Linked DNA regions of Drosophila melanogaster. The protein of the gene in region 2 interacts with the protein of the main gene of each other region in a biochemical or structural test. Each region holds a gene or a part of one and is shown on either strand. Other genes may lie near its edges.

Region 1 (6,230 bases), on a different chromosome or scaffold from region 2:
CCCCCATTTCCATTACGGATGCGTGAAGAACTCAAATGGCAAGGTATTAACGAATTGTCGTGAGTTTGGTTCGGGGAGGGGTATTCATTTTTCTTGGATCGTTTAATTGGAAACTGTTGCTGTTGCAGTTTCGTTGATGCACTGAGACAAAATCATACTAACATTAATTTTAACCTCTCTTGCTATTCAAATATAAAGCCCCAAATAGTAATAAAATTCAGTAATTGTGTATGGAAAAGAAAAAAAAATTTGTTTAAATAAACAGTTTAATGTTTGGAAAAGTAAATTTAAAATTAGTTATAAATATGTTACATTGTATTATAAAAGTTACCATAAGTGCGTTACATAAGTTACAAAGTTTTTCTTTGTGTTTTTTCTATGTCCAGATTTAATTCAAAAATTCCAACTTCGCGTTACGCGCTGTTTTCTTTAACTAAAAACAAAATACAAACGCTGCTGATTGTTTCATATTAAAAATTGAGCGTGTGTGTGCGAGGGGCAACATTTACAATCGGAGGCAACATGCAAGCGATGATGAAAAATCGCCTGCAACATGTTGGATGCTGCTGGGGACCCTCCATGGATCTAGAATGGAATGGGATCCGAGAGGATGCTATGCTATGCTATGGATTGGGATACGAGAGTCTGGCGCTGGCTGCCCGCTGGCATCGCCAACATCAACTCCAATTACAGAAGTACACGCAGGCGTCTCTCTTATGATTTTTTTTTTTTAGTTTTTCATTTATTTTCCATCATTTGTTTTTTTCTATACTTTTATATGGTTTGTGGATGATGCGGGCCAACCATAAAGAGCTGACATGTGTGTTTCAAAAACACAGCGGAAAACATATGGCAAAAAATACGACTTCTATAAGAAGAACAAATCGAATTGGTACATAAACTTAAGCTATAAATTCCGAAATACGTACTTACAAAATTTATTTATATTTTAATAAACATATTTTCGAAAGAATTGCTGATTTCGCGTTTCGGGTTTCGAAAGTAACCGTTCAGTACCACTTAAAAAAACACTTTTATTACAAGTTCGTATCAAATAAACGTATTAAGTTTATACGTTTTTAAATAAGATAATTTTTAAGACACTCACTATAAATACTTATTAAAACAAACTTTTGCTTTTGCAATATATTACGAATGACCTATGCCATTTATCTGTATTTGGTATATGTTTGTGGTTTCGCAACATAAACGTTAGATTCCAAAAATAAAAATAAAAAAAATAATCTCATTCAAAATCGATTTTGGGTGTGTCTTAACCAGCAACTCATTTTTATGATAAAAAATAGCTAATCAACATTTAAATCTCCGAGACAAACTAATCAATTGAATTCAAATTCAAATGACGCCAAAATCAAACCATATGTGTGTTCAGCTCTGAATGCGATGCTGGATTGTTGGTAGCAAATATGAAATCGACTTTTAATTAAGGCATTTAGCCAAACAAATCAAAATCGTTAAGCCCCGATGCTGAATGAATCATGAGAACTTGAACTTGGCTACGGCCCAAAGAGAACCCGATCCGCAGCCCCGAAACAGACCGATAAATTTAAATTCAGAGACAACTGCCAACGAGCTCGTTTTAAAGGAGGAATAACTTAAGCTTCAGCAGGAGACTTTGCATTTTGCCAGGCCAATAAAAATGGAAATGAACGCGGAGCGGAACGTTTATAAAATAATAATGCGAAATAATAATGTGGCGGTGATTTAGCGGAACAGTGCCACGATTGAATACAAATAAAGTGGGGGAGACGCCTAATCTAGGATGATTTCGGCCTAATCTGGAGCGTGAACCGGGGGCAGATGTGTCCTGGAGTGGCTGCCAACTACCTGTTTTTTCTCGCTTTTCTCGTATTTCTCGCTTTTCTCGAGAGCGCGCTTTTCCCCAAATCGAGGGAAAAGCTGGAGCGCCATAGGCCGGTTGCCGTGGCACCCTCGTCGCATAAATCAAGACTGGGGGCGGAGTCTGCCGTGGGTGCAAGTGGGACAGCAGGATTTTCGAAAATGCGCACTGTCCGTCCTCTCTCTCGCACTCGTTGGCCGGGTCCTCAAATGATTTACAGTGTTCGAAACGCACACAAGGCAACGCACGAGAGGGTCGTTTTGTCGGTTTTTATGGCTCAAACGTGAATTGAACGTGGCGCACTTCAGTCGCCAAGCAGCGCGCTCGGTCTTCTGCAAACATAAAAAGATACAGATACACGTTCTCGTATTCGTACGCGTAGCAATCCGCGAAGTTTCCGCTTGAAAGCCAGTCTTGCGATTCCATGGAAAGCTCTTTGGCGACGGCAAGGTGCCATGGTCTCCCCATAGCGGATACTTTACCGACTAACTCCTTTACATAGGAGCGGAATTACCTACCCACCTCAAATAATTTCTCAAACTGCTCATCTTCGCAAATAACTAAGATAGCAAAGTGCAGTGCAAAAGGCAAATACAATTAATACGAAAATAAAAAGTATACAGTGAAGTGCTGGCTAAGAAAACTAATTGAATTACAACGACTTGTTCGTAGCGTCTGATTGGATTTCCCCAAATCGTCCACATAAAGGTAAGAAAATAACAAACGTAGAAAAACTAAACTCTGAATGTAAGAAGAAAATTTAAGAAAGTTTTGCCCTTAAAGGTTTAAATGAAACCATCGATATATCGTTAAATGGTTCCTTTTAACCTTTCTAAACTTTTCCACTCAAATCATTCTGAATTAAAACTGCACTGTGGTGTGGAGGATTGAATATTTTAGAGTCAATTTAACAAACAATAAATATTGTAGAATACAAAAAAGGTGTCAATTGTAAAAAATCAATATAATATATATATATATATTTTTTATAAATATATATTATTTTAGCAAGTTCAGAAATCCAATTACTTTACTTCTTTGCAATACCTCCAAATGTTATATAAACTAACTGCACACTTAACTAAAAAAAAATATATGAACAACATTAAAAATATATATTAAATCTTCAGAGACAGATTTTACTTCTCCAAACTCCCAAAATGAGTCCCAGAGTCTTGATTTTATCCCAACTAGCCCAAAGTACGGAGTTCGAATGTTTATGATTTGGTCCCCCGAAATCGATCTCACACGGACAGTGTCGGTGAGAACAATAAGACTTTAGTCGCAGTTCGAAACATGATTTTCGAACTACCGAGTAACGATCTCTCTCAATAAGAACTTGTTCGAAACACGCGAGAGCGGTGCTTTTCGAACTACCGCTCTTTCGAACTCACACACACACACACCGATGTGTCGTATTCGTATCCGTGAGATACAATTTGTGGGAACGAATTTCTGGTTTGGCGGTTGATTCGAAACGTTCTTCGCGTCCGCAAAGGTAGTTTCAGCACATGCCTGAGAGCGAGCGAGATGGCGGAGCGGCGCAATGCCCGTTGTCTCTCTCGCACACTTTTCGAATAATGAACACTGCACTTGGACGACGATATGTAGCTGTATAGCCATATAGCCTTACTTGCTCGTACTCGCAGATACAATTGGACGGGGGAAATGGAGCAGTATGAGTGAGCCAGAGCGCTGGCGTATCTGTGTTTTTTATTGATGCTCAGAAATTTGAATTATGCCCGAGCAGTCAAAGTGAGACATTGGCGCTTCGAGCACGTATCCGCGGATACACCGGAATAACAGAAAAAAAAGCACAAATAAAAAAACTCAAACAATCCAACACTCAGCTGTTCCGCGTGTAAAGACCCTCGAATACTGTTCGATTTTAGCGAAAGATGGATGGACTGCAAAGTGCTTGCATCGATGCTGGCGCTGATGGACAGTCATAAATTCGGCGTGAAATTCGCGCAGATACTTAGATACTCCGTCATAGCGCATATACTTATCGTGATCTGTAACAAATTGCGCGTGTGCTTGTGTGTTTGTGATACCAAAAGCCGTCCAAATCCGTCGCTTAGCCCTTTGCGGCCAATTACCCATTAGAACCATCCAAAACATAAGCCTGCAGGTAGGACGCAAAAGTCTAGCCAGTTTGCCCTCAGGATGCCATCGGATTAATTTCCCAGATATCCGGCTGGTTGTGACAATTCTACCTTCGTAATTGTGCACGTTGATTTCCGCACTCAGCACAAGTGAAAATCGTGGTTCAGTGCAGTGAAAATCAGAAAACAAACTCACTTGAACGGAGGTGAACGCCGTCGGCTAACTAAAATTGTGAGTAAACGAGTTTAACGGCTGAAAATATTTTAAGCGCTTTGGAACAGGTGAAAACAGTCATGGAAAGGATATTTATTCGTTGTCAGTTTTTGTTTTGTATTTTCTAGTGTTTTTTTTTTTGATGTGTTAAGAACTTATGTAGCAATATTTGGTCTAAAGCAATTTAATTATAGTTTTTTCTTAACAATTTGATGCGATTTTATTTATCAAATAATATTTACAATAAAAAAGTGCTTTGTTCGTATGTACATATTTTTTTAAGTAACAATATTTCTACCACCTTAAATTTTATTTTTAATCTTACAATCTTTATCTTGTACTTTGACTTTCTTATTGAAGAAATAATACCAACACTAGTAAGTTAAAAAAAAATAAGAAATTTTTAATTTCTTTAATAAATCAATTTAATATTCTTTGAAGAAATCATCAAAGGTGCGTAATAATTTCCCCTGTTTGCTTCTTAAGACACTCCATATCAAATAATATAATTTGAAAAAATCAATGAAATATATTTTGATACCTAGTAACCGAACCCAGAAAATACATTTTATATATTTCCCTATATCGGGGCTTTGTTTCTGTATTCTGTTTAAGCAATTTTTCATAAGGTTGCGTGTGCGGTATCAACGCAAGGAATTTTCACTTCATTAAAGCGAAATGCAGCCGCTTTTGAAATAATTAAGAGGCACAAAGGCGAAATGTCACAGCGAATGAAAAATGCCTAACAAGCGCCGCATATAGAAGGTTAATCCAGACACATAGCGTTATATACCGAGCCCAAGCTGGGATAGGGATGAAGAAATGCCCACGATATAGGCTTGGCTACTATCCGGGGAACTCGAACTCATGCTGGCCAAGACGCCATGGGGCGAACATGAAATTATGTAAAATAAAAGAAGACGCACTGGGCTGGAACTTCATGGGACTTTGCCAATGACCGAGTAAAGGCGATGCTCCTGGGCAGTATTCTACATCCCGGCATGGCATCCCACATGTGCTCTAGTCGTAAGTGGATGAAATTCCACTTGATGTAGGTCACTTTCATTCGCCCATCTCGCCAAGGGTGGGCCAAGATCAAAGAGCTGGAGAGCTGGCTGCATCGATTGCATAATATGGGCACAACACTGAGACAGTTGCAGGCCCAGTAACAATTCCACTCCGAATTGCAGTCTATACGGCTAATTGGAGGGTAGGGGCCAGTCCAAAGTTCTACGAGTGTCTTCAGCAGCGCTGTAATTTATTTGGCCTGCGCCTGGCGGAGACATTCATCATGGCCTAACCCCGGCTCTTCCTGACGCCCCCCTCAAATATTTCAACAATACTCGTTCATATTTATAAATCAAAATCGCAAGCACGCAAGCTGAAAATTTGTGCTAGAGTCGTTGATCTATTGGCCGCAAAAATGGCAGGCCGTTCTAACAGGAATAGAAAAGTCTACAATAAAAGCTAGAGTAGCAAAACGAAAAGATACAAGACCGAAAGACAAAATAATACAAAAGAGGTTGGAACAGCATATATTGAATGCCATTTGTTTAGAATTAAAAGAAATTTATTGAACCATGAATGCTGCGAGCATATACAACTAATACTTGTCTTAAAAACCCGCCCCTCTACCTAAATTTATCCTAATAGTTGTCCGACAAAACTGCTCTCCAAAAATATGACTACAAATTAAGTTGGCCAAGGATTACCCATAAACAGTGGCAAGACCAGGATACATTACACAATTGAGATGTCCTTGACCAGAAACAGGACTACTTAAAATGATAATTCCGACTCGACCATTGCGCAAAAGATCATAAATTATCGCAGTGGAGAGGAGAGGAGATGACAAGCTGAACCACAAATGGCCGCTTGCAGCGAGGATCGGAATCGATGATTGGTTTTCAGTTGGGAAAACAATTGGAGAACTCATAAAAATTATGAGAGCCATGACAAACAAACAAACAAACCACAAACAGCAACTGTGACGAGGGTTGCCACGGCAGAAGAAGATGCATGTTTGGGGAGTGAGAAAAAAGACACAAAA
Region 2 (7,800 bases):
TGTAGTACATCCTTCTCGTACCACAGCTGTACGCGTTGCTCTCGCTTGGTGTTTTTGTCACGGAAATCATTGGATTTAATCAGCGGATTCTCGGAGCGTTTCTTTCTCTTGTTTTTGCCCTTTGCATTGCCCTCATCATTGTCGTCGTCACTGAGGCCCAGGCCCTGCTTATCATTGATTTGATCCTCGTCGTCGGAGGCCTCGCTTTGCTCCTCATCATTGTCATCGTCATAGTTTAGATCATCGTTGATGTTGCCCTCATCCTTGTCGAAATACTTGTATTTTGGCAGCTTTGTTTCCTCGGGCTGCGATTCATCGACAGCAAAATCGGGTTGCACGTCTAGCAGCTCGTCAAGCTCGGCAGAGGTGCGAATATTCTTGAGGTCAAAGATTTCGTGCTCCATTTCCTCGACCGGACCATCGTCTCCCTTGATCACCATATTAAGGTTCATCTTCTCGTGCAATTTCGCCTTGGTCTTGAGCGTCTTCTTACGCTTACGCTTCAAGTCCTTCTTCTCCTCTTCGACAATTGTCTCAATTTGCGTTTGCAGCTCGGCATCTTCCATGTCCTCGATTTCCGCTTGCGTCAATGGCTTGGGCTTCTCATCTGCGGCATTGCCGACGACCAGTGGGGTTTCCTTTTCAACGAACAACTCCCTAACATCCTTCCACCATTGCACGAGACCCTTGATATCCTTGCGGCCCAATACCTTCAGATCCTTGCAGCACTCGAGAATCTCTGGCGTGGTCTTCTTGTGATTGGCAATGCGCTGATCATCGATGCGAATCGAACCGATGCCCTGCAGCGCAGCCAGTGCATTTTCAGCCTTCAGGAACTCTGTGGCAGCCAGATCGTTGCGCAGCGCAATATCCTGGGCCGTATAGCCCTCGGCCTTGATGCGCTTTTGCTTTTCGGGATGCAGCAGGCTGCTCTTCTTTTTGGCATCGAGATCCAGCTCCTCGAACACATACTTCGAGTCCAGGAGACGGGGATCAATGTGATCGGGCGCCAGGTAGCCCTGACAGACGACGAATATCTCGGCGGATTCCTTACGCGACGCACTCGGCTTGGTGGCGTGCACCTTCTTGAACAGCTGCTTGAGCACCCAGAGCAGGGCATTGTAATCCTTGGAGCGGAAAACCTTCGTCACAAACCAGCCGCCGTTGCGCAGAAACTGTGTGCTCAACTTGAGCGCGTTGAGGGTGAGACAGATCTGCTGATAGGCATCGTACAGCCAGTTCCTACCCACATTGGGAGCACCGTCGTGGAGCACAACATCGGCCTTCCACGATTGCAGCTCCTTGGTCAGCGATTGGCGGCACTTCTCGGTGGTGATGTCCTCGACGAGACCAATGCAGCCGGCAATGGGACGGATGGGAAAGAGATCCACGCCGATCACAATGCTGGACACCGGCATATTCTGCTTGGCCACCTGCATCCAGCCACCGGGAGCTGCGCACAAATCCAAACATACTTGCGATTGTTGGAGGAAACCGAATTTGCGATTCAGCTGGATCAATTTGAAGGCGGCACGCGATCGCAGGCCCGTCTCCTTGGCCAACTGGTAGAACTTATCCTTGCGCGTCTTTCCAACTTTCGTCTTCTTGCCCATTGCTGCTGGCTTTTCGTACAATTACGATAAAAATCAAAACGAATTCAAATCAAATGTCGAATTCGTGCACGTGTTGCCAACAGTGTGGCCGTATTGACAATTCAAAGTATTCCGGGCAGTGCCAGCATGCGCGTCAAGGTAGCGGCGATTGAGTGCTAGATAAGTGGAACGTGTTCTTAAATTGTGGAATGCATTGGGGCAGCGGGTGAATTTTTTTAAAATTTCTACTTTATTATTTATAAATTTAAAATTGGTCGATCAAAGTGATTTATATAAATTACTACACACTTTTGGGAATAACTGTAAGATGTGGGGTGAAGTACATTAAGCCGTAATGAACCATAATAAAAATAAAATACGCCTAAAATTAAAATTTTTTGTCTGTTTTACAGCTGCCAAAAATCTAAAAAATTAAAATTCTTCTGTTTTTATTGACCAACCCCACATAAAAGAATGATTTCTATCTGTGAGCCAGATAGTTTTAATTAAAGAAGAGCAAGTGTATCTACAGATGCTCCATCTCTTTCTATTACGTGTATAGATTATCTGCAAAGGATAACGCCCTTTTCTTTAATACTCCCAAAAAACCATTAATTAATACTTCGTTTTGATTTATTAAGTTATTTGTGTAAAGTTGTGTATTTATATATTTTTCTATTGTTATCCAAAATGTTTAATGCAGTACCTTACTTACTGAAATACATTGAATGGTTTCATTTGACCGTAATGTGAGCGAAAGTCTGTCAAAGACATATGTTATTTATCATTTAAAATTATAATCGTTTTGTATACTTTCAAATAATCTGTTTTCATATCCGTTTTAATTGGGGGCAAAGAGTAGTGTACACTTCTTACTAAGCGAAAGACGAATTTGTTCTTGATTTTATAATGCAATTAAGTTGGGAAGTTCGTTTTTATAGCAAGAAATCCATTAAGATTTAATGTTTAATACTTTTTAGGATGTAAGAAACAAACAATTGTTTTGAGACTTTTAAAATACACGTTAATAAATCTATTAAATGTTATAAGCTGTTAAATAATACAATTCGTCCTTCGATAGAAATGTGACATTTTGTTTATCCAAGACTTTTCTTTTCCGTTTTTACATTCAAAATATTTTTGTAATTAGTTGACGTGTGTGCGGATAACAACAACATGTATTATTTATTTATTTGATATACATCGTATACATGGTTTAGTTTCGTATTTTCGTATTGTTCAAGTTTTTAAAAATTTCGTACAGTTTTAAATTCAGTAAACACTATTTTGCTGTCGTATACGTACTGTAGCCAAAAAAGAATCGTCATAGTATGATTTACATGCAATATTTGTATATACCCGCAAATGTAGGTAAATGTATTAAAATATATTTATACACAGCTGCGGTCAAAATAATAGCTCTGAAACTTGTGCCTCCTCCACTCGTTGTGAAAATATTCGTATACTACCAGTTTAATCGAGTTTCTTTGCATATGTTTTCGATGGTTAATATATAAGCTAAATGGGGCTATGCAGAAAAAGTCACTGCATTGGTTATTAACCCTTTTTAAAGAACGTTGATCAAATTATAATCGCTTAAGCGAATTATTACGTATTTATGTATTTTACAGTTGACATGCCACAAACAACATGCTTTCCATTTCAATTGATTGTGAATTAAAAAAAAAAAGCGAGCAAACTTTTCGTTTTATGTTCGGGCAAAAAATATTCTTAATTAGGCCATTATTCAATTGTCGACTTCTTAATACATCCTGCATGCATATATTGTTAAAAAGCAGGAGACTGTGTCAATTAAAAAACCATATCAGCTTATTTACTTTCTTTTTTGATTTAAGCAGGCAAAGTTTTTTCTGCCAACCAAAATGTAGCAAGCACAAACTAACTATTACGTATTTATATTCTACTCACGTATTTATGTATATCTATCGGAACTATATCTAAATTGATGGGAATTTTAAACTTATCTGACTCGAAACCAAAGGACAGAAAGCTGAATTTAAAAATCCCTTAAGAATTGTTGTTCTTGGCGAAGAAGCAAATATAAGCCGCATAATTATGAAAAAACTGCATGTTAGATTTTTCAGCGCAGTTATTTTGACCGCAACTGTATGAGGGATTCTCCGGACTGGGAGTGGTTCACAGCCCTGATCCTCAGGGGCTTAGATCCTGATGGAGATTTGGGTCGTAGCCGCCCATGCTGTTGTCGTACGGTTGCTGCTGGTCGTATCCGCCGGAGCCCATTGGATAGCCCATGGAATCCTGTGGCGGAGCGGGTGACATCATGGGTGTGGTTGTCCCGCTGGGTGGACCGGCCATGGAATACGGTGAAGCACCAGCCGCCTTCTTGGCCGCATACAAATTGGCCTCCTCCTGTGCCTTACCAATGTTCTTCTTATAGCGAATACGCTTGTTGCCAAACCAATTCGATACTTGCGAGACCTGCATGAGTGTGTTTTGTTTTATTTACTATGCTGCAATCGGATTTGCATTGTTGATTAATGTGCCCTACACTACTTACCGTGATGCCACACTTTCGTGCCAACTCCTCTTTGGCCTCTTCGGATGGATATGGGTTGCTCAAGTGACTGTAGAAGTACTCGTTGAGAATCTCGGATGCCTGCTTGCTGAAATTGCGGCGTTTGCGGCGTGCGTCCAGGAAACGCGAACGAAGTATCATTACAGCCTCGCAGGTCGACTGCTTCAGCTGCATTTGTATGGAACTAAACTTTTTGTGGATGATCTGCACCATTCGCTCGATTTCCTTTGGTGTAATGGGTCTGAAATACGATTATATTACCCAAATGATGGCCATCATTTTGCATTTATCTATATACACCAACCTCGTGCGACTCTGTTCGCGTAGAAGATTCATGACATGCGTGGTGAACTCGTTGCATGCCTGCTCGTACTTCTCCAATTCCTGGTGATATATTTGACGGATCTGTGCCAGCTTGGCACGGTAGTCGGAATGCTCAATGGCATTGTCAGCACCATCGATGGACAGGGAACCGCCCTGGCTGGCCGCAGCCGCAGAGGCAGCCGCTGCTCCGCCACCGCCCTTCTCGGGTCCGGCCACGCCCTCGGCAATCAGCATGTTGTCCAAGCGCATCAGTTGCGGATCTGGGGGCTCCTCCTCCTGGGTGTTGCGAATCGAGAGGACTGTAATAGTTTTAACGAAGAAGACGAATGATAAAAATAATTTCATACTGAACGTTTTAAGACTATTACGTTAAGAATTGTGTTTGATTTAGTAAATCAATTGTATCACAAGCAAATCACAAAATCCATAATACCATTTCAACTTATTTGATGGTCTTGAATGAGAGATAAATATAGGGTTTTAAGCTTACCGGTCTTCTCCTTGATTTCGCAAAGTACAGAGAAAAGTGCCGGCTTCATTCGGTGACAGTTTAGTGTATGTTTTCTGGCCTGGGCCTCGTCAAGTGATTGCTCCGAGATACTCATTATCTGTTGCAATATCTCGCCGATGTCCTTCTGCTTGCGCACCTCGTTCTCGCTGCCGGCATTCTGGCCATCATCCTGGCCAGACAAGCCGTATCCTTGCGGAGCCATCATGCCGCCGGTGTGGGCCAACATGCGATTGGGGTCCTCCATGGTGCCGCAACACAAAGCAAGCTACAAATCCAAGTTTCTGTAATAATATTAAACATCAAATATTAAAATCATGCAAGAAAAAAGGAAATAACCCAATATTTTTTCTACCAATTCGATTTTTTAGTGTTTTATTATTTAATAAATATTTCTTTTTTATATAAAAACATAAGTTTGAAACCCTTAAAAATGTAGTAAAAACTTGAGTTAATGTATACTTAACAAACTGAAAACAAATACACCAATTAAATCTTTTGCTACAAAATTCATCATATCTATAGAAGAGATACCAACAAAGCCATTAAACCCACAAACCCCACCACAAAATAATCCCCCAGACATTTGAGCAAAAGTGAAAAGACATTTTGGTATCCTATTGGAAATGCAATAATCTCCACCTGTCGCAATCTCATGAAGCGGCATATCTTTTTGGGGGTGAAAAAGTATCTCAGATGCGTAGCACGAAGCTGGGCAGTTACCCGAACTATTTATGAACTTATTTCTATTTATTTATTGCTGTGTACCACAGGTAACGTTACATTTTACACATGTACAGATAAATGACGCCGAGTGCATCACATACATACACTTGTACGTATGTTTAGTGCCAGCAGAATGGTAAAAAAAAATCAACCTGCCAAGTTTATATTTACATACACACAAGGTTATGGTTAAGCATTAATTTGAATGCAGTTTGAAAACATTTTGTTGGTTTTACATGTACATTCTTGAGATTTTATTACGTCAGAAAAGATTTAAACTGTTTATAACAAGGTGTATGTACATATCCACACATCGATATATGTGCATGTAAGTATTGAGAAGCGTCCACTTGAAATTCCATACTCACGGTTTTTTATTTATCGTGATTGCCTCGTATACTTATTTGCCGTACAAGTCGTATTTTGTGTTATTTTCACTAAAAATTAGTGACACATTACTTGCAGTTGTAAATAACCGCAAGTATATAATATTATTATCTTTTTTGGACAACAATGAAACGAAAGTACGTTCTGTATACGCAGAAAAATAAATCGATATGAAAAAGTTTTCCAGTACTGTAAGAATATCGATAAGTATTCCATAAAATGCAATTTATATTTGCTAGTGAAAACGTGGACAATCGATATCTTACCCGTAGTTACATTCTAGTGCTTACTCACTGCGAGTTGGGTATCGATACTATTTAAAATGTGGCTCTTGAAATAATATTTTAAACATTTTTTCAATAAAATAAATAAGATATCCTCTACAAAAAATGTGGTATATTGGTATTGGAATATAGAAGAAATACAGATGATCCACTCTTATAACATATATTTTAAAAGGCTGATTGGAACTACGTTTAATTATATAACACATATATTTGTTTCTATTTTAGTCAACTTCATTTTTAAAAATGGTCTTTCGTTTTTAAGCGTATTATTACATATCTTCATTTTAATAAATACCATATAAATTATATAAAAGTGAAAGTGTGAAAAGGCTAAAATTCATTCACATCATATTCGGCCAATCGATAGTGATAGGCTGCAGCCCACTAAAGTCGTTATGGTCATATTGTGCTGTGACGTTTAGTCGTATGTTCGTGGACTTCGGAGAAAATCTTTTCTTAAACGGTTAATTCAGTAAAATTATTAATTTACTTTCATTGTGATCAGAAACGCTTTATAGAAAACTTGTGGAAAAGGTATTGAAAAGTGATTGTGACCAAAACGAACACAACCTCAAAAGTTTAAATGGCGTGGCTTTCATCCATATGTAAATGCATACGTGCATGAAAATGTACATTTATATATATCTATACTAAATAATTCAGTTTTCCACAATTTTTGTAACGTTGGGTCTAGTGTATATCTGCATAAAGCTACTTTACTTCGTGCTTACACAAAAATCACGCTTCAACAGTGTTTTTTATGGCCATTATACAAAAGTACTGAATACATAAGTAATAGGAAAAGATATATATGTAAAATATATATATACTTGAATGTTAAATTAACCTTTTTCCTTCGAAATTATAAGTAAATTTGAGCTAAACTAAAGTAATGTAAGAAATACTTAGTACGGAGTGGTATACATATGTTCGTTCATGCGCATTCCTAATTTTATTTTCTTTCCCTTTGCAGAATAGTTGAGAGACCAAAAATTTCAATTTTTGCGATACATAAGCGCGTTAAAAGCGTTACTAATATTTTTCAATATTAGCACGGAATCAGAGCTATCAAAAAAAAAAAAAGTTATCGATTTCCCGTGGCAGTGCGATTTGTTTGATTTTGATTTATCCATATATATTTTCCAAGTCAATTTGCGATTGACTTCACAAAGAATACCCGAGAGTACGATATCTTTGTCTAATTTGCGAACTGGCATTGCGCACCCCAAAGGAGGGGAAACAAAATCTTATATGACTTTTGAAAGATACGGTGGTAAGTAATAGTTAATCATCAACAACCCATTGAATCGATTTGTATCTAAGACACATATTTATCCCGACCACTGTATAATGTCTTACTACTAACCAAGATCCGGATCCATCCAAGGTTACTTTAACATTAAAAATAAGCTTAAAAAT
Region 3 (6,535 bases), on a different chromosome or scaffold from region 2:
CTCATTCGACGGAGGCACAAGTTTGAAACAAGTTTTAGGCCGCCGCAGGGCCAAAGCAAATTAAATTCGGCAAGAGACCACACGCCACATCAGCGGCATTCATAGTTTGGGCCTTAGTTTCGGGCAAGTGCTAAGCGAGTGTAAGTCATTTGTAAAGGGAATAACATGACACCGGCGGGAACCCGGGGTCACGGGTCTGCGTTTTGGGGCACAACGAGACGGAGAAGGAGACGGATGCCAAGACGCTGGATAAGATGATGCACTGGCGATAATCAAGCCCCGTCTTGTTCTCGTGGTCGTGCGCTCATGATAAATGTCACAACATTAACATCAAATGACACGGACCATCCGTCACTCAGTCGGAGTTATACCCTACCGATGGAGGGGCGGGGGCTTGGAATCGGAATCCGAGCATGAGCCCGAAGATAAGTTGGTATGGTGTACCTTGCGACTGTGTCAAATATGCCCCCGAGCGATCGTTTCCCTGTCTCCCTGCGCGCCGCACAACTTCGATATTTCGTTTTTGGGTTTGATTTTTGATGCTGACACTAAGAAAAACTTTCCACAATAAAGAAAATCAAATGCGGGCTTTGTTGTTTTATTTTAAATGTCCCAATATTAGAAATAGCATCTTAGAAACCGGTACGAACACAATAAATGTGTAATGGTATATATTAATAATATAGTTAAGCCATTGCTTTTATATGACCCTCGGTTCCTACTGTAAAGCCAAATTTCATCATGTTAACATGTTTAATTGGATTATTAAAAATTAGAAATTATTTAAAAACCCTTTAGTTTGAAGCCAACTTTGAATTATGTACTATATTTTTTTCAGTGAAACGACAAATTTCCACAGTCAAGTAAATCGGGAGTGGGTACTGGGAACCCGATGAACCGATGAGGCATTTGACAATGAGCGAGTCGGAGTGGCGTTAAGCGAAACGTTATAATTACCCATTTGGGTCAAGGTTATGGTCGAACTGGAGTATCCCTGTGTACTGTGCTGTGCTAATTAAAAAGCAATCTATCAGTAGCTTCAGACCTCCATCCGATCCTCTGGGAAACGCATTCGTCACCTACTTGCCGCCCCGTGGCATCCCTATTTTGGTTTTATTAAAACAATAAGCGACGACAATCTACAGTTGGCCGTCAGATGTTGTTGGTAACACACTCGAAACATGGCTGAATGAATTCCCCGTTTGGGGGGTGACAATTAATTAGTAATTATTTCTGCCAGGTCAACTCAACTGAGCCCATTCAGTCGGTCTCTGGATCTGGTGAATGAAACCAGGCAAGAAACCTGTTCTCCATGTCCAAGTTGCATTCAGTTTTTGTGCCAAGAATGAGTCGAAAAAGCTTTCATTGTAGGCCTTAGAAAATTACTGTGTATAATTCAGAGAGCCTGGAAATTATTTTCTGGGGGCTAAGCATATGAATGGATACATACAATTTTTCAGAAGAACATTGAAATGAGAATGAGTGTTCGTTAAAATATCTTCGAGGTTTAATTTAACGATTGTTTCTTCCTAGACAAAAATGTTTCAATTGCCTAAAAAAAAAAACTACATATATATGCAGCTCTATACTACATTCCCAGGATGACTTTTTATGATGTATCAATTGGCACCGTACCATTCAGCAGTCCAAGTTGATTTTATGTCAGTTCAAGTGCTGAAAGAACCTCTGAAGAGGCCTAATAACCAGGAGCCTCTTAAAGTGCTGATTGCAGCGAGTGGGACTCACTTAACGTTATGTGCATTATATTATATTATATAGGAGTAGTATGTACAGGAACTTGTCGTTTGGTGAACACGGTTCGCCCCTCGACGCAAGGCGTGGCACTCTTGATTTTGATTAATGAGCTTGGAGTCGCAGTTTTCTTTTTTAAGTTACTCGGTTGGCTGGTGTCTTTGGCTTTTAGATTGTTTATTTTCATTTTGGGTTTCGCCCAGGAACGAACATTACAGGGGCCTGTCAGTGAATCAAGTGGGTGTTGGCAGCTAAGTAATTTAATTAGCATACCCCGAAAAATGGGACACGACATGGGCGCGAAGGGGAGAGCAGGAGATAAAGAGAAACTTTCAACTTACCAACTCCCGCCACATGGATCTTCTTCATCCAGGGGTAGATGATCCGTTCGCCATCGGTCGTCTCCGCCATCAGATCCTCATCGCTGTCTGAGTCCCCGAGGTCGTCGTCGTTGTCGTTGGAGCCCAGCTCGTCTGGAGATCGATCCAGCATGAGCCGATCCTCCTCTGACATATCGTCCTAAACAAGTCAATCAAGGCCTCGATTACGCATTCTCTCTTGGCACATCTGCTGCAAGTACTTACGTTTTCGGATCCCATATCATCACACCGCAATCGCATCCCTAGCTCTTGCAGTTGTTGTCCGGCAGGTACAGCTTCTTCTATGCGTTTTTCTAGTTTTAGGCCTGCATGGAATGGAAGTCACTTTAGTTTGGTACAGTGTAATTAGAGTAGCTAAAATCGAATTGAAGGGCTTATATATGTACAAAATATTAGATCTTTTTTAATATTACTATGCGGCATAACAATCTTGTGGGCTTATTTTAAGTGTTTTTCTCAATCTGCTCCCTAGACATTTTAAAAGGTTTGGATATACGAATGTAAAATGACTTTGCTATGGAATTGATATATAAATAAAAAAAATAATTATATAAATATAAATATAAATATATATTTAATATAAGGATCGATTGATAATCTTCAGATTATTGAAATAGTACTAAGTATATCCTCCTATCAAATCTCAACGGATTCCAAGAGACAACAGAAATTCTATTAGTATGGACTCACCTAATTCCTGCAGTCCCAGCGCCGTGTTCGTCGGTGGTTCCGTGGAGCTGCACTGAAGGGGCAGATCCATCATCTGGGAGTGCGGCGAGTGTCCTTGGGAGTGGGTGCTGCCCACACTTCCGTTCGCCGTCCCATAACCCCCACCGTACCCGCCGTAATATCCATTTGCCGATCCACCCACTGCGCCACCTCCGAGCACTGCGCCACTTCCTCCGCCACCACCGCCATTGCTCGTATTTGGAACGTTTGCCGCCGGTCCGTATCCGTTCGTGGGATCGGAGTGCACCGCTCCTGCGGATATGAATTCGGGGGCGTGGTGGACGTAATAGCCGAGGCTCTGGTGCGGATGGGCGTGTGGATGCGAGTGCGGATGTGAGGGCGGAGTGGCATTGGCATAATTGGAACTGTAACCGCCGGCGGATGCCTGGTGGTGTCCAGATATTGCACTGTTGCTATGGTGGTGCGGTAGTGAGTGGGTGTGCGAATGGGAGTGGCTGTGCGGATTGTGGTGATGCGCCATATAGTCACTGACCATGTCCGCCGGGTGCATGGAATGCGGATGACCAGTCATCCCACCTGCTCCACCACCTCCGACAGACCCAACACCTGCACCACCGCCGACGGCACCACTCATATGACCCGTAGATGCGGTCATCGAATAGTGTCCATTGTAGTGATGATAGTCATCGGCCAACGGCGGAAACTTTGGGTCCAAGCCATTGCCCATGGACATGGGACTCTGGACATGATGTGGTGCATGCGGATAACCCATGAGAAAAGAGCTCATGACGGAAGGTCTGTTGGATCGGGGTTCACCGGATGCGTTTTCCTGGTTATTACTTTGTTATTCGATTTTTTCTTGGGCACTATCACTTGGATTGCACATACTCCGAACCTTTTGCTTTTAGTACATTAACTATTGATTAAAGGCGCTGCTTTTGCAAGTAGTAATTACTTTTAAGATTGTGTTGGTTAAAATAAATTTCGTATTCTTTTTAATATTTTTAACTAAACAAAGGGGTTAGAAGGCTCCCGTTGTCTTCATAATTTTCACTTTTATTGTTTTGATTATACTTTGTTTGCACTTTTTTGTCACTTTTAAAAGCCGTGGGGCCTTGGAATTCTGAGAAACTTGATTATGGTGTTATTTTCCGGTTATAAAAAACGTTTTTACAACGAATTTCAATCCCACACAGGGAGAAAAGTCGGACGTTTCGGTCTTACGAGTGCGCTGCGAACACGAACCGTCCCATTCGAGCCGATTTTTTGTTATGCTCGCTGGCGATAACTCTCCGTGCGAGCGAACCTGTTTCGCCACTCTTCGCTCTTGTTTGCTTGTGCTCTCGCTCGCTCTCTCTCACCGCCATTGCCATCAAAACGGGTTTTCACTGCCGAAGCAATCGAAGGACGGCCCACACACGCGCACAAATAAAGCCATTCATATGTAGCAGCCATGTCTGTTCACCTTTTCTCACCCTTCGCCTCGTACGCCATTTTCCACCACTGACCATAGTTCTCTCGCAAGCGCGACTGAGAGGGAGCATTGTGGTTAAAGCGGGATGGCCAGATCTTTGGTCACACCCATTTTGAGTTGCGTGAACAGTCAAGGCATACAATATTGAACTAGTTCAAAGAAGTATTCTTAAAAAAAAAAAATAAAAAGCCATTAATTAAAACTTTAAAATATAATTTTACTTTTACTGTACAGTGTATATATTTTTTTTATATTTTAGTAACGTCTTATTTATTTTTTTACGAAATAAGCTTATTTTACTTTCCAAGGATTAATAAATTGAAATGACAGTAAATCGAATAGAAAATTAAAAACGCAATTGTCTACATAGAGAAATAGGATTTCTGAATTGATTCAATGTTATATTTATATCTCAAACAGCACTGTTTAGCTCATTAGCACACCTACTTACCTACCCTCGACTGTTCTTCCCTCAGACTTACTATTTTGGTTGTACTTTTGCTGTGAGTGTGCTGGTACCTTCAAAGTCATGGCGCACGCTCGAAAATTGAACTCGACGAAAAAGTTGTCTGGACCCAAGAAACTCCGCCCATTTTCAGAAGGCTTTCATCGATCCCGGACAAGACGTAAGTGTGGATATGGAGCACACCATTTATTTTCCACTTTCATAAATGGATTCTGTAGGAACGATGCAGAGAACGCGTGGGTAACAACAGTATTGATCGTAAAGAGGGGACGGTACTATTGGATGCCGATTTCTTCGTCTGAATTCAGCTACCGAGTTGGAGAGTCCGAGCTGACTTGCAACAATTTCAATTGAACAACCAACGAATATCACTTTGTTCTCCTCTGTGATTATTGTTGTGGTCTGGCTGGGGCTAAGGCTGTTATTATTGTTGTCATTACTACCGTGATTTTTCCTCCGATGTTGTTGTTATGGCGATGACGGGCACATATTCAAATGGAGCAAGCGAAACGTGGAAAATCAATAGAATGATTGTTGTATAATGCACATCGAGAAGGTTGGATATTTAATGCTTTAATATTGTTTTTAGTAAATATTTAGACTGATTCATAACAATCCATAATGTGGGTAAAAGAAAATATGGCTTGTACTTTTAAATTCGTACTTCGAGCAATGCGGAATATTAACAATTTATTTATAGGTAATATCATACAAACTTTTGATTATTTCGCTTAATGAATTCAACAGATTTTAAATTTTTGTGATATATATTTTAATAAGTTTGAAATCTGCTGACCCTATAGAGCCAGCTGCCCTAACTCACTTCAAATAAAAGTTAAATTGAGCATAAATTCGTGTCACACTTCTGGAGTGTGTTTCTGAAAGTGACTCTGGCTAATTGCCGAATAATTGGACCTCCGGTAAACCCACCAAAAATATCTTAACCCCCTTACAATCAGGTCCACGTGCTGTGCCACCTCCTTCACCAGTTCCATATGTGAGCGGTATAGGGGCATGGCCACTAATTAATCGACTTCCAACTGATTCGATTTTGATGGTCACCATCAAAACGTCATTAGGCTAGTTAAGTTTATAAAACTTAAATTTAGTCTGTGGTCCGTCGGCCAGACTCATAGGAGTAAATGTTGGTTTAGGTCTTCATTCCACGTTAAAGTGTTCGAATTAATTGACCAGCTAGTGTTAATTAATGGAAGTTCCATGTTTACTAATTTTACTGTGTGATTCATTACGCATATTTGTTTACAAATAACTTTGGTCCAAATCCAAAAATATAATTGCTTTTAAATTACATTATTATATTTCTCGAAAATTTAAAATCAGAAAACTGTTATTTAATTTCTTATGTATTTAAAATTTTTAAAGATAGTACCAAATTTAGATTCCATGCTTAGCATATTACACTCCTGAATGGCTGCTGCTTGAGGACCTTTAAAACTCAGTTGCATTAGCGGCTGCTACATCGAATTTTCTCAGTTCTGACGTAGCTCCTTAGGTGGATGGAAGCACGATGTGGGAGGTTTGGGAAAGTCCCAGCTTGCGCAGGGATGAGGGCTCCCTGAGCCAGCAGGGAGGATGGGTTGTGGTACAACGAGGATGGCTCGGTTGGGGGACAGTGGGTGTTTGTTGCTATTGCTTGCTCTTTGTCCGGGGCATTTGAGTCCAAATCCCAATTCAGATCCAGCAATCAGTTGCGACTGTCAGGCGGCGGCAGAAGGAAGTTCACTTGCTGCACGAGGCAACACACTGAAACGT

Evidence for each region. The genes of interacting proteins can lie anywhere in the genome.
Region 1: the proteins of exd (region 2) and Scr are reported together in a solved structure, tested with the Drosophila melanogaster proteins (2 studies listed by BioGRID, with this or other methods).
Region 3: the proteins of exd (region 2) and Dfd form a complex in vitro, tested with the Drosophila melanogaster proteins (one study listed by BioGRID).

What each region holds. Positions count from the first base shown.
Region 1 is NT_033777.3:6,845,884-6,852,113, reverse strand, and holds the start of Scr (Sex combs reduced), read left to right. Parts: upstream 1-2,132; 5' UTR 2,133-2,569; intron 2,570-3,608; exon of another isoform or gene 3,609-4,198; intron 4,199-6,230. UniProt on the Drosophila melanogaster protein: Sequence-specific transcription factor which is part of a developmental regulatory system that provides cells with specific positional identities on the anterior-posterior axis.
Region 2 is NC_004354.4:15,990,937-15,998,736, reverse strand, and holds exd (extradenticle), read right to left. Parts: upstream 6,038-7,800; 5' UTR 5,813-6,037; intron 5,802-5,812; exon of another isoform or gene 5,624-5,801; intron 5,266-5,623; 5' UTR 5,229-5,265; coding exon 4,964-5,228; intron 4,773-4,963; coding exon 4,454-4,772; intron 4,391-4,453; coding exon 4,132-4,390; intron 4,053-4,131; coding exon 3,765-4,052; 3' UTR 2,228-3,764; downstream 1-2,227. Other genes in the region: CG8939 (uncharacterized protein), read right to left, coding at 1-1,613; CG46312 (uncharacterized protein), read left to right, coding at 7,633-7,654. UniProt on the Drosophila melanogaster protein: Transcription factor which acts with the selector homeodomain proteins altering the regulation of downstream target genes such as wingless (wg), teashirt (tsh) and decapentaplegic (dpp), thus affecting segmental identity.
Region 3 is NT_033777.3:6,789,399-6,795,933, reverse strand, and holds the start of Dfd (deformed), read right to left. Parts: upstream 4,099-6,535; 5' UTR 3,610-4,098; coding exon 2,823-3,609; intron 2,438-2,822; coding exon 2,337-2,437; intron 2,272-2,336; coding exon 2,094-2,271; intron 1-2,093. UniProt on the Drosophila melanogaster protein: Sequence-specific transcription factor which is part of a developmental regulatory system that provides cells with specific positional identities on the anterior-posterior axis. Homeotic protein controlling Drosophila head development.